Linked DNA regions of Lytechinus pictus. The protein of the gene in region 1 interacts with the protein of each later gene in a pairwise test. Links are inferred from orthologs where the notes say so. Each region holds a gene or a part of one and is shown in the gene's direction. Other genes may lie near its edges.

Evidence for each region. The genes of interacting proteins can lie anywhere in the genome.
Region 2: the proteins of cytoplasmic FMR1-interacting protein 1 homolog (region 1) and nck-associated protein 1-like interact in binary tests that used the Caenorhabditis elegans proteins (3 or more experiments, as listed by UniProt). The link is inferred for Lytechinus pictus from reciprocal best matches to the Caenorhabditis elegans genes gex-2 and gex-3.

The regions. Positions count from the first base shown.
Region 1 is NC_087249.1:49,436,616-49,443,574, reverse strand, and holds the start of cytoplasmic FMR1-interacting protein 1 homolog, read left to right. Parts: upstream 1-3,943; 5' UTR 3,944-4,091; intron 4,092-6,959. UniProt on the Caenorhabditis elegans protein: Required for initial steps of body morphogenesis. May play a role in egg laying and yolk protein clatherin-mediated endocytosis by oocytes during oogenesis.
Region 2 is NW_026974140.1:15,023,798-15,030,760, reverse strand, and holds the start of nck-associated protein 1-like, read left to right. Parts: upstream 1-3,938; 5' UTR 3,939-4,087; coding exon 4,088-4,198; intron 4,199-6,963. UniProt on the Caenorhabditis elegans protein: Rac effector required for tissue morphogenesis, cell migrations and egg laying. May play a role in egg laying and in yolk protein clatherin-mediated endocytosis by oocytes during oogenesis.

The DNA.
Region 1 (6,959 bases):
TACAATTTATGGGATATGTATCGAGCGCTAAACTTGCTGCTATTCCGGTTAATTGTAGTTGGGGTTCTATGTTATGTAGCACCTTGCAAATGGGGGGGGGGGGGGGGGGGTCCGAGATGGAAAAAATGACCGATATATTTCATGATAGTGTTACTGTTGTATTTTTATTGTACATGGCATATAATGTCGGTATATACGCTTTGTTCATTTGTGTATTGTACATGAAGAGAGTAATCTATTGTTGTTCATATATAACTTATGGAATGAAATTGTTTATTTTGAAGGTTGGAACATTTTTATGCATTTCATTTTTGAAAAAAAAAGAGATATAAATGACTCTTTGTTTCTACTCCAGGCACAGTGACTTTTATGAATCCCCAGTGATATAAGGGGTAAAAGGAAAACCAAAAAAAAAATGTATTTAATCAAGAAATGATAAATTCCATTACTGTAATCTTATTTATATACCCAAAACAGGGACTGCATTGTATTACTGTAAAGAGATTATATCATTCCATTGAAATTCATTCATTATCTGTCAAAATTATTATTTAACTTAAAAAGCATGTATAATACTGCACAAAATATATGTATGGTTCTGGATTTTTTTTTATCTTGCTAAAGTTATAGATTGGCATGCATAAATTAACAGTGACATAAATAAAGTGCATAATTGTATACTAGACAAGAGTATAAATTATGCTTTTTTTAATGTTATTGAACTGACCAGTCCGTCTTTATATAAATATTTGTAGGCGTTAAACTGCACTAGTTCAACACAGAAATCTCAACAGAAAAAAAATACTTTTAATGAAAACCAATTTTCCCACATTTGTCTTTTAAGTTTGAAATTGTTTGATATATAACTCCTTTTACCTAGTTGTAATTTTACATTCCAGAATTAATATATTTGATGCCAATTTTGATTCTGTATGGTATTAACCAAAATCCCTATGCCCTGCACGCAGTTATCCACATATATACCCTGTTACATAGTCCTATTGCAAAATATGCAAATGACCGTATAACTTTTGAAATGTTTTAGTACATTTATTTCTCCCAAAAGCCCTTACAGGTTCTCTGTGTGCTGGATGTAATATTGTGTCGACATTTTGTGTTACAACAACATCTGACAAAATAAAATGATAAAAAAAATCATAAATTGTACAAAACGATATCTGTTTTACCCTGTGTCCATGTATTTGTTAATTGTTTTGATGTGTTGGAAGCGAGCAGGATGTTGGGCAAGAAGGAAGGAGAAATAGGAATAATGTGGAAGAGAAAATGGGGGAAAGTGAGTAGGAAGAGGTAAAAGTGGAGAACAACGAACGAGAGAGAAGAATGGGAAAAACAGAGAAAAGATAAAAAATGAGAGGACGAAGGGAAAAATTAGAATGATGAAATAGAAGAATAAAACAAGAAGGGAGAGAGGGGAGAAGAAAAGATGAAATGAGAAGGAAATTAAAAGTGAGAAAAAGGGTGGGAATTGTACCGAGTAGAGAAATTGAAACATAAGATGCGAGAAACGGTGAAGAAAACGAAATGGGAAGAGGAAGAGTTAGAGAAGAAAAATGGGAAGAGAGACGAAAAGAAAATGGAGAAAAGAGGGGAGGAAGAAAGAGTGAAGAGAAGAAAATTAAGACGAGAATAGAGGGAAATAATAGCTGTCTTTGAGAAATTTTTTTTTTGTGGGGTTGTCTATTTTTTTTTTTTGGGGGGGGGGTTGTCTATTTTGTTTCATTCAGGCATACCTTTTCCACATACATGTATTTTCCGAAATTGACAACTTTGACATGTAACCAAAAAATGTACAATAAATTTTACGATCGTGCATAACATTAATACCGTAAAGGTCTCAGGCAAGCCATGTACAAATACAGTCATGGAAACAAAATGATCTTCAAAATATGTACATAAAATTTAATCAAACTGCATGTATGTACTTGTAAAGACATTGGACAATGGGTAATTAAAAGGGTCGGAACTTAGTGTAATAATTAATGAGTAAAATGTAGTTATCTACTTTTGTTTTCATTTCTGTCTTCCATAGATATGATAGAAATTTCGCTGAAGTCAGTGAGAAATTTATTACCGAAATTTCTGGCTGAGCAAGCTGTTGCACAATGAACAGAGATGGCGCTAAAGCAGAAATTCTTTCATCAGCCATTGAATTAAATTGTTTTTTTTTTTTCAATCAAATTAGATAAAGTTTATTTGGAAAGATATTGATGATGGCCATCACTTTCGCCTCTTTTAGGTTTCGGTAATCCCCAAAGTTTTGTTCAATATTTATTTCTGCAATTTGTTTGTCCTATAATTGTTATGGGGTGAATGATAATTATAAAAAGGGGCATTTTAGTGAATGAATTTGCGTTTTTATAATGATCATTTTATTTCGACGAGGAACCCAATAAAAGAACAAAGACCGAACTATTTTACATCCGATTTTGATGATTTTTTCAGCGTTATGCTTGATTTGATTCAAATCAACGTTTTTCTGTCACAGTGGTGGACGTAACCTTTATAATGCATGAGATTTTAGAATTTTCCCCCTAAATAGTTGTCGCTCAGCTCGAGTTCAACACTTTGGTGGTGCTCAATTCGTGAAATGATCCATTTATTTTTCTTATTGTAGCTTGTTTTTCTTTTGCTTTTCTGAGAACTTGACTTTGTATTATCGCAGCATAGCGAATCCATGGGACCAAAGTGGCCACATGGCGAGGCCTAATAAGTCACAGAAATAGGGAGATGGGTAAAAAGGGTGAACAAATGGAAAAGTAAAGAAATGGGTGGGGCCGGGGCTCAGGGAAGAATCGCTCTTCACACTCTCTTTGATTGTTAATTAGACCCTGTTCTTAAGTTGGTTCAGAAAATGGTTCTGCTCGCGCTTTAGTGAGGTATGCATCCTGTTCAGTTACAAAAAGTGCTCAAGACATGATTGTCCCGTTTACAGGTTTTCAGGTCAGCCGCGCTGGGCGCCAGTCCTTAAAGGTCAAGTCCATCCCAGAAAAATTTTGATTAGAATAAATAGAGAAAAATAAACCAGCATAACGCTGAAAATTTCATCAAAATCGGATGTAAAATAAGAAAGTTATGGCATTTTAATAAAGTTTCGCTTGTATTTCACAAAACAGTGATATGCACAACTCAGTGTCATGCGAATGAGTCAGTCGATGATGTCTATCACTCACTATTTCTTTTGTTTTTATTATTTGAATTATAAAATAATTATATACAATATTTCATTTTCACAGATTTGACAATAATGACCAAGTTTACTGAACCTTGCTAATTCCACATGTTCAGGGAGGAATTGTATAATCGTTGTTTCACTTGACAATGAGGAGAACATTAGAATATATCATTATAATAAAATACAAAAGAAATAGTGAGTGGATGACGTCATCAGTCTCCTCTTTTGCATACCGAACAGGTTGTGCATATAACTGTTTTGTGAAACTAAGTGAAACTTTAAAATGTCATAACTTTCTTATTTTACATCTGATTTTGATGAAATTTTCAGTGTTTTGCTTGTTGGATTTTTCTCTTTTTATTCAATTAAATCAACTTTTGGTTGGGGTGGACTTGTCCTTTAATTTGCACTAGATTCAAGCATGATACCTATTCTTTATAATAGGCCTACCCCCCCCCCCCCCTTGATCCAAAAGTTATTACTAGGCCTACCGATACATTTTTTTTTTTGGGGGGGGGGAGGAAAATGCGACGATTTCTTCTTATATTTTTTGGTGGTCGCTTCATGCAGACACAGGGGATCTCGGATAGGGACTTAAAAATTGGGTTTGTGGTACCAGGCCGTACATAATAATGTCAATTGCTTTATACCTAAATAATGATGACCGATGGGGTCCGATGACCACACCCATTGGCCGCGCCCTATAACGTTCGATACCGGTACTTGTACTAGTTCCTCGACGCGACATACACCGCGCGCTCGCTTAGCGCGGCGCGGCGCCGCTGCACTCTTAGCGTTGTTTTCGCCATGTTGGGATAGGCAGGGCGAAAAGCTTCCGGGGATTCGCTTTCCAGTTTCCAGCGATGGCTGTTCATACTTTCATGTGACAATATATTTGGTAAGCTTATCTATCCAAATATTTGGGTTGATGTTTTTCGTTCTGATTCACCAAAAATCTTTTTCCATACGTTATGAAAAGAAAACATTTATTTCCATCAAAATAATGAGAACAGTCCCAGACGTGCAATTTTGTGTGGTGTTCTGAATAAACTTGTGTTGCATTGCCATTGTTTTTCAGAAAGCATAAACTTGTTATTATTATACTCTTGCTCACTTGCTTAGTCTTCATAAGTTAGACTCAGAGTCTGCATTTTAAGTTTTGATATCCCAATTCACTATAGCTTTAATGAGGAGAAAAATTTATAATCAAGGATTCAAGAAGACAAGATGCTTAGTCTTCATAAGTTAGACAATGTAGTAAAGACAAAAGACGGAACATCTATATTACTAAACCAATCCTGAAACTTTCTAAGAAAAAAGCACGAAACTGGAAACGCTATACCAAAAGTGTTTATAGAAATGAAGACGAGAAACAAGCAGACTTAAATTCATATAAGAAGGCAAGAAATGAGCTAAGAAAGGCAACAAGAGCAGCCAGTCGTAACTTTGTCTTTGAAGATGACCTAGTGGAAAGTATCAACTTTAATCCTAAGGCTTTTTGGAGGTACGCAAATAGTAAGATTAAAGGTAGAAGTCAGATAGGAAGTCTTAGAAGAGATGATGGATCTCTAGTAGAAACTGATAAGGAAAAGGCAGATGTCCTTAACAAATACTTTTGTGAAGTATTTACTGTTGAAGACTTACAAAACTTTCCAGATTATGTGACCGGAGTAGACGCTGATATACCTTGTATGGAAAAGTTAGGATTTGAAACATCAGATGTGACAAAAATGATCAAAACCTTAAATGTGAATAAATCAGCTGGCCCAGACGGGATCCATCCTAAAGTGCTGAAGGAGTTGGGTGAAGTTATTGCAGAACCACTATCTATCATATTCAACAAGTCAATGCATGAAGGTAAAATTCCAGCTGACTGGAAAAAGGGAATTGTAATTCCTCTTCCCAAGAAAGGAACTAGAACACAGATTTCTAACTACAGACCGGTGAGTCTTACATCGATAGCAGGAAAACTAATGGAAAAGATTGTGAGGAATGCTGTAGTGGATCATTTGCAAAATAATCAATTGTTGTATTATAACCAACATGGATTCATCCCAGGACGGTCATGTTCCACACAACTTCTGTATGTGCTTGAAGAATGGACGCAGATGCTTGATGAAGGGAAGCCAATCGATGTTTTGTACTTAGATTTTCGCAAAGCATTTGACAGTGTTCCCCATGAAAGGCTACTACGTAAACTAGAGAGACACGGAATTACGGGCCAACTTCTTATCTGGATGCGAGAATTTTTGACAGGAAGAGTTCAGCGTGTACGAGTAAACAGGGAACTATCTCCATGGTCTCCAGTATCAAGCGGAATACCGCAAGGGAGTGTTCTCGGACCTATTCTCTTCCTAGTCTTTATCAATGACCTATCATCTGCTGTCAACAAGAGTAATGTTGCTTTATTTGCCGACGACACCAAACTTTACAATATAGTGAGTGACTTATCAAAGATCAAAGATCTTCAAGAAGACCTGGATAGACTACAATTATGGTCAGCGAAATGGCAGTTACCTTTCAATAGCAGTAAATGTAAAGTTCTACACATCGGAAGGAATAATCCAGAAGCAAAATTTTATATGCTGGAACAAGAAGTGAAGTCAGTAGCTACTGAAAAGGATCTTGGGGTAACAGTTGATAATCAATTGAAATTTCATCAGCATGTGTCTCTAGCTGTTAATAAGGCATACCAACTGCTTGGAATCGTAAAGAGAACTTTCACTCAACTAAACAAATCTACCTTGCCCATTCTCTTCAAGACATTAATTAGACCACATCTGGAATATGGGAGCGTCATCTGGAACGGTAGATTTACAGAACATGCCAAGAAGGTTGAGAGAGTACAGAGACGAGCAACAAAACTAGTGAAGGACTTGAGAAACGTACCGTATGAAAGGAGACTCAGGGAACTTAACATGTACTCACTCTATTATAGAAGGAGGAGAGGAGATATGATAATGGTCCACCAGATTATGCATGGATTGGTCAACATTTCTCCAGACCATTTCTTCTCCAAGTCTGGTAGTAACTCTACAAGAGGTCACTCCATGAAATTATTGAAATCCCATAGCAAACTGGATGTGAGAAATAAGTCTTTCAGTAGAAGAGTCATCAATGACTGGAATAGTCTTCCTGAAAACCTAATACAAATGCCAACAACAGACAAATTTAAAAGAAATATTGATATTTTTTGGCAAAAAAAACACTTTGAGCTTCCATGACTCCTCACGCAAGCTCATGAAGTAGTAGTTTTCAGTGACCAATCATACAAGAAACGACCGGGAATTACAGGCTTGCGCCTTCATCCCGTACCAGATGATGATGATGAAGATGAGGATGAGCCATGAGCATGATGAGGGTCACTCTAGGCGACACCCCAATACTTACCCGTGCTAATAAACTGGGACTCCACTCACGCGCATTTGGGCCGCCCTAGCTTAGAACTAAGCTTTGTTTTACTAAAAAATAAATCTTCTTATGATTCAATAAATGTTACTTAATAAATTAGTACTGTTAAATCGGTACTCACCGGTTCTTTTCTTGAATTTTCTGGCAATTTCCCACGCTTCTGGCTTCAATTCTGCGGCTGTTCCTGTCGCGGTAGACAGCTACATATGCAACTTTATTTATAAATGGAGCGCCCCTTACGAGAGTTGTTAATGCCGCGGAGAAATCGTTAGGCATTTTTGCCTGTGTTCAAGGCGTAGCTGTTCTATTTTTTTTTTTATAGGTATGAGATCGAAATCACAGCGAACTCGTATTT
Region 2 (6,963 bases), on another chromosome or scaffold:
TAATTTATGGACAAATCAGTGATGGGTCCAGAATTTTAAAATGGGGGGAGGGGCCTATAATCGGGGGAGCCACCAACATTTTCAAATTTTAACATGATCTAACAAGTTGTAGAAGATACAACCATAAACCCCTATGATGATACGTTACAATACAGGGGCCGGGGAAGGGTTTTCAAAGTGGGGGGGGGGGGGGGGCTGACCATGCAAAAAATCACAATCGTATGGTCATTTTTACATTTTTGTACATGCTTTTGGAAAAAAGTGGGGGGATGAAGCTCCCCGCCCAGCCCCCCCCCCCGCTTCTGAGGCCCCTGCAATATATTGTGCTCACTCAACCATGAATATATGATATCAAAATTGTGTGTGGAGTGGCTAAATGATGGATAGTAAAGCAGCATAACACCATAAAATTCACTTAAAGACAACATTTGCCCAACTTTGTATGTGCACAATCTGAAAAACGACTCTTGTGACTTTCAAAAATGGTCATTTTTAATTCAATCTTTAATTACTCATGCATGACTCAACCGATCAATCTTATTTTTCTCCGGGAGTTGCTTAATGAGTGTAGAAAACCACCTACGGAATATCATATCTCAAAATAATTCCGTTCAAAAGTTACAGCAATTTGATTTAGGGGGGACATACTTTTTTTTGTTGTGTATATATTATTTCTGCTCTTTTGGCAAATTAATAAAAAAAAATTCTCTGTCACACAAAAAAACAAGAAACAAACAAATGGAAGAAAAGTTGATATATGGTTTTGCAAAAGGCTTGCAAATATGTCCTTGTCATTCCTCGTATAGAGCTCGGGGAAGAAATATTTCTTTATTTTTATATAAGATTAGGCCGACTGTTTACTTCACCCCTCAAATTTCTTCTGACTTTTTATATGTTATAATGTGGATATGTATAAGGCATGAAAAAATGAAGTTATAATTTCACAATTGAGAATTTACTTTTCTTAGTTGAAAACATTGTTAAATGGTAATCAAATTTGACAAAAGACCAATGACACGCCTAATGATACTATCGATATCATGATTATCAATATTCTCAGTCACCGTTATCATTGTCATTTAAAAGAATCGAAGACGTTAGAATATAATATGAGGTGAGCCTTTTTACGAGAGATGATATCATTTTCAAAAATAATACTCTGATCTCTTTCAAACTATGTTATGGCAAGAATAAAGAGAACTTAATGAAAGCAATTGCCCTGCAATAAAACTGGAAAGGGACACTGTAATTAGCATTCCTATCCTGATATAAATTATAAAAATCCCTTCAAAATTTTAATTCGAAAATAGTTTGCATAGATCTCGCCTAGTACTGTATTACTACTTTGACACCTGGTATATGCTCGACCCCGCTAAATCTTTACTTTGATAGAAATTGATTTGTTTCAGAAAAAATGTTTATTTGGATTTATAGCTAGGGTGATATGTTTGAGGTTTAGATTATCATGTTGTTCCTGTGAGAAATTGTCGCAATTAAGTCATGGAGTCATCAAAAGGTTTTTAAGAAAGCGAGGCCAAGTAAGCCGGACTGAGGCTAGAGTTTGAAGATTAGAACATAACGGGGGATGCATGAATGTTTAATATTGTATGATATTATGATAGACAGTCTTCAGTATCTTTTTATAATCATTTACAAATAAAACTCCGTTCATGGTTTACAATATATATGATTCCTCTCGATGTCGTAGGCCTAATAGGCCTATCGCAGGGGAGGCCTTAATTGGGGGTGCTTGCCCCCCCCCCCCCTCCAAAAAAAAATCATGACCTAGTAAAAAAAGAAGAGAAGGGGATTGATAAAAGGGAAAGAGAGAAAGGTGAGATATGATATCATTTCCTGAATATTATGTCAATATCTATGACAATATTAGATTTTTGTAATATATCACTCTCAACTTCTTACGCGGTACGCCATACCTAGCTCCTTCAAACTTTCTGCACTACGCCACCATCACTGAGCAGCGAGTAACACTTCCTGGCGGAGAACTTCGGGGAATGCCTACAAAATATATATTTTTTTTAATCGAACGCACATTAAAGCAATTAAGCCAGCGCGATAACCGGTGAGCTAAAATCTTTGATATACTGATATGTAAAAAAGGAAAATGTCAAGGACTGTTTCTTGCCGGTTTCTTGCTATTAGTTTAGAGGATCAAACACCTCACGATTCGATCATATATTGCGAGCGCGAAGCGCAAACTGAACATTTGTTTTGTATCCAGACCGGAAAACGGAGTATTTATATAACCACTTGTTTGTAATAGGTTCTCTATCTCTATCTCACTACATATTATACTGACCCGAAAATGAAAGTTTCGATCATTGTTTGACATGAAGAAAATTATTATGTGGATATATACTGTACGTTCCCCTGCCCCCCCCCCCCCCCTCGGTGTTGCGCCTCGTCGGATGGGGACCCACGAATCGGACGATAATTCCTTTTGTACGTCCCGCAGATATCAGACTACAGATTTTGTATGGTTGTGTATATAAAAGTCAAACCCAGCTTTTCGGGGGGAGGGATACATTCTTTATAGTTTTTTTTTTTATAATGCAAGTTTAATACTAGGAAATAAAAAAATATATTTTTGATAAACATCGGGATAAACATGCAGCGTTTTCTTGATGAAAATGCATGGTTTTTCATTCGATTGACATTAGTTTTCTAAATAATTTATTTTTTCTAGTGAAATTATTTTGTTATATATAGCTAAGGAATGAAGCTGCTGTTTTGTATTTGGATAATTGGGTGAAAAGAAATGATTGTTTTATGAGACAGCATGGTCATAGATTGTGTAACGAAAACCTGGAGGGGCAATATGCTGCAATCACAATCACATAAATGGACACCGTATACTCCTATATTTAAACTGGATTAAACAACGGAAGGCTAATCCCTCTCATTCCGCGGTCCAGAATAGGCCTATGCCATATGATTTCCTTGTGCTAAATAATGCCTAATATGTTTCTGGGGCCAGTGAGAACTCTCTGATCGATGGTTCGATCAGCTTGGCTTCATGAGCTCACATTATATTATGTGTCCTGTTCATGATTATAAAATGTCATATTGCATAAAACTTTCGTTTTTTAGGTCAGTACACTAAAAAGAAAATTTAGCTCACATGCATTTAGTATTTATAGTGAGATACTTAAACTTATGGATATACTTTTTTTGTATGATGAATTCAAACGGCATTAAAACTTCCCTGTTCAATTCAGTATGAAAAAAATGGGTCGTGCTTCATACCTAAATTGTTATAATTTGTACTGAAAAATAACGCCAAGAAATTACTTCAATCTTTGATTCTGGACCCCCGTTCCGACCCCCATCCCCACCAATTAGCTCTTCCAGCAGCCCGGCTTTTGCAGAAAAATATGGATAACATTTTTCTCCTTCCCCGCCCACTCTCACCCCCTCCTGATGCACATCTGTTTTCGAGTAAAAACGCTCGATCACTTGAAAAAAAAAATTGTTTATTAAAAAAAAAAACTGTTTATCCCATCGAGACTCGGAAAATTCCTTTGCGGTAAAATAAGTTTATCAACCACGAACTATTTCTTTAATAAAAAAAAGTTACGTTCACTAGTTGACATTTATGACCCTGTATGGAAAAAATACCTTGATAGAAAAAACAGTCCATATGTCTAGGGGGGGGGGGGCATTAGGCGCGCCACGCATGTTTATTGATTTTCCTTCCGCATTCACGTGCTGAAATTCTATATGGTTCACGATATGCATAAGATGATATTGCCGGCTTACATTAAAAAAATAATATATTTATGTGTATCAAAATATATATTTATAATCTAAGTGATGTAAAATAATAAATTCTATTAATATCAATTATTTTTATTCGAAAAAGTGGAAGTAAAAAAAAATCTTATTTATATAAAAAAGCCTTTAATAAAGTTTGTAAATTGTTTTGATGGACTTTCTTCCTGGTTTGCATTAACGAGCGGCTGAGTTCCCTAATTTTGCGACAAGGCCGCACCTTGAATGCTAAACCTGTATCGAATGCCCTTTATTGCAGCTTTAATTAGAGTCTAGATGTCGTTGATTACTGTCTGATATGTCCAGCAGGATGCCTGTATCTCAAGGCCAGCTCAAGCTGGCTGAAAAACTCTCAATTCTCAATGATCGTGGCACAGGAATGCTCGCAAGATTATACAACATCAAAAAGGTACGAATAACAGTGGGCCACTCATATTACCACCGTATGCAATATATGATGCACACAAGGGAATTGGTGTAAGCACGATTCCTTGATGGTTGCGTTCGAATAACACAGAAGTAAAATCACCGTTTTAGCACACTAGACGTACGATTCTATACTTACAATATTTTTGTTCCAAAATATTTTTTCACAAAATGAAATTTGCATCAATGCTTGTTGAATAGGCCCTACTAGTATGTAATTTGCAAGCCAATGTAGACTAGATAATCTCCATCTCGATAATATCATGTGAAATCATGAAATCAGTCCTTCAAGTTCAAGTTCAGCTTCACGTTTATTTCGTGGGGCTCAATAAATCGCTCTCCTTATTTTTCCAGCAGCTTAATTGAGCTTCTCAGAATCGCTCTTCTTGAGGAGCTCAAATCTATTCAATACAATATATATATGAATCTTATGATAAATTGTAGATTTTTCTTAAAATTGTAAATGCTATACTAATTTACTATCCTATAGATGTGTCTGTAGGCCTATTCTGTGGTGAAACAAGGCCTGGCCAGGCCAGGGTCAATACGTTTATTCAACGCTAGCGGTCGTGTACATTTGCTTATTACATGACGTCATCCAGCCATTGCCGAGAGCCAATTTATGAATGAAAATATAGTAAGCATGCGTAGTGCTAGACAGGAATAACCGTCGTTTCTGGGGATTTATTCAACAATTTCTGACATTTTACTGTAATCCCCATTTACCGACGGAAGGGTGTACGTGTGGGCTCGCATGTGTTCTCATTCCCTCCCTTTTGTCAATTCACAGTCCAAAGTTTGATGTAATTTTACACATCGAATTTACAATCTAAGGATGTATAAACAACAAACTTTTAAAAATTAATATTTCAATGTTTAAATACTTTAAACGATATAGATGAAAAAGGCATGAAAAATATACTTTACCGATGTTTAATTGGGTTGAACACGAAAAAAATGGTCAAAATGGCAGCCAAACTATAAAATATTTACAAACGAACGTCAACAATCACGAATGTGATATCGATATTGCTTTCGATATTATACGATCTGCTCCATATGCGAACGAAACCGAAGATAAACGATACTAGTTATACTAGTACTAGTACTAGTTATAATCGCGATATATCGATTCGAGACATTAAGTTAATAACGATAATGACGTCATTCAAGATGGCAACTTGCAAGAAAAACCGTCAGGTCAGGTGAAAATGTCTTAGATGACAGATTTCTCAATCATCCAGAGGATTTTTTTCAATAACTCCGGCCCAAGGTATGCAATTACTTAAGTTATTTATATTTCCCTGATAATGGAAACCATGAAACTTTCAATTTTGCTTAAAAAACAGTTTTAAATCGCGATCTATAAAACGCTAGTTCACTATACGTTGGCTGTAGGTACGGGGCCCCATCCCCTTCAGTCTATGTATGGTGAGTGGAGCCAACATAGTTCAGCGGAACAACCAAAATACAGAGACTGAAGCTTTTGGTCTAGCGTAGTGCAAGCCTTCCATTTCCCCACACAGTATTCCACCAAAACAAGTGTGCAATTCTCTATCACCTCGTACCTAAATCGACCTAGAAATAATTTCACTTATATTTTATATGAATTATGAAAGGGTTTCTCGGAGGTTATATTTTCTCACCGATACCGCACAGGTAAGCGAATTTCGATTACTTCTTGCTTTTCTGTCAAAATCTTACGAATTAGCGTCGGTATGGCATCGTGTTCATTGGAATTTGTAGTCTATCGCAACGTGCACAAAGTCAATTGGCTTCCCGGTTTCGGAGCGTCGCGTGAATATGCATGAAATTGCAGTTTCGATAATTTTCGATCGATGCCGGAGCGATCACGACCATTTCCCGCGTACACAAGGTGACCGGATATCGTTATCGCTATCGATACTTCTGCACGCAGTCCGATGGAATTATTTTGGCAACCACGTAGTCATGACCTGATCTGCACGATTGACCAATCAGCAGTCTCCGAATTGCTGTGCAGAGACGATCTATCCGTTGTACACAGTCTATGGACGATTTGTCGTGTAAAATATCACACTCCTGCATTTAAAAAAAAAAAACTTTTTACAAAAAATACTGTACAAAAATTTCGAAAATTTCACATTTTACATCTTTAAATCCATAAAATCGCCATCTATTTTCCTTAATTCCTTGAAATTATTTTGATTTAGTTGAAAACTAAATGAAGAATATTCAGCTCTTTCTTAATTCTTGGTACTTGGTATGATGTTCCTCCGAAATACTCCAAGAAGAGTTTTTTAAACTGATTGATGATGTTACAATCGGTAAATATTGTAGTCCCACATGTAGACTTCCATGGTGTTGCAACATTAACTGAAAATGATCGTTAGATCGTTATTGATCGATTTACACTTGGTCAACACCATGAAAATCTACATATGGGACTACAATATTTACAGAGTTTAACATCAAATCAGAGTCAGGAAAGAGGTGAATATTCTTAATTTCTTCAGTAGTTTCCAACTTAATCAAAATAATTTCAAGGAATTATGGAAAATAGATGCCTATTTCATGAAAAAAAAGATGTAAAATGTGAAATTTCAGCACCAAGGGAGGCAGCGTAGCGTAGCTCAGTCGGTTAGAGCGCCTGTTCCGGATAAGATCGTAGATCTCAACGTGCGTGGGTTAGAGTCCTGCAGCATGCCGGAAGACGTCTAATAAAAAATCTGATGGTTTTTTTAGGAGCGCAATTTTTTGTTCTCCTTA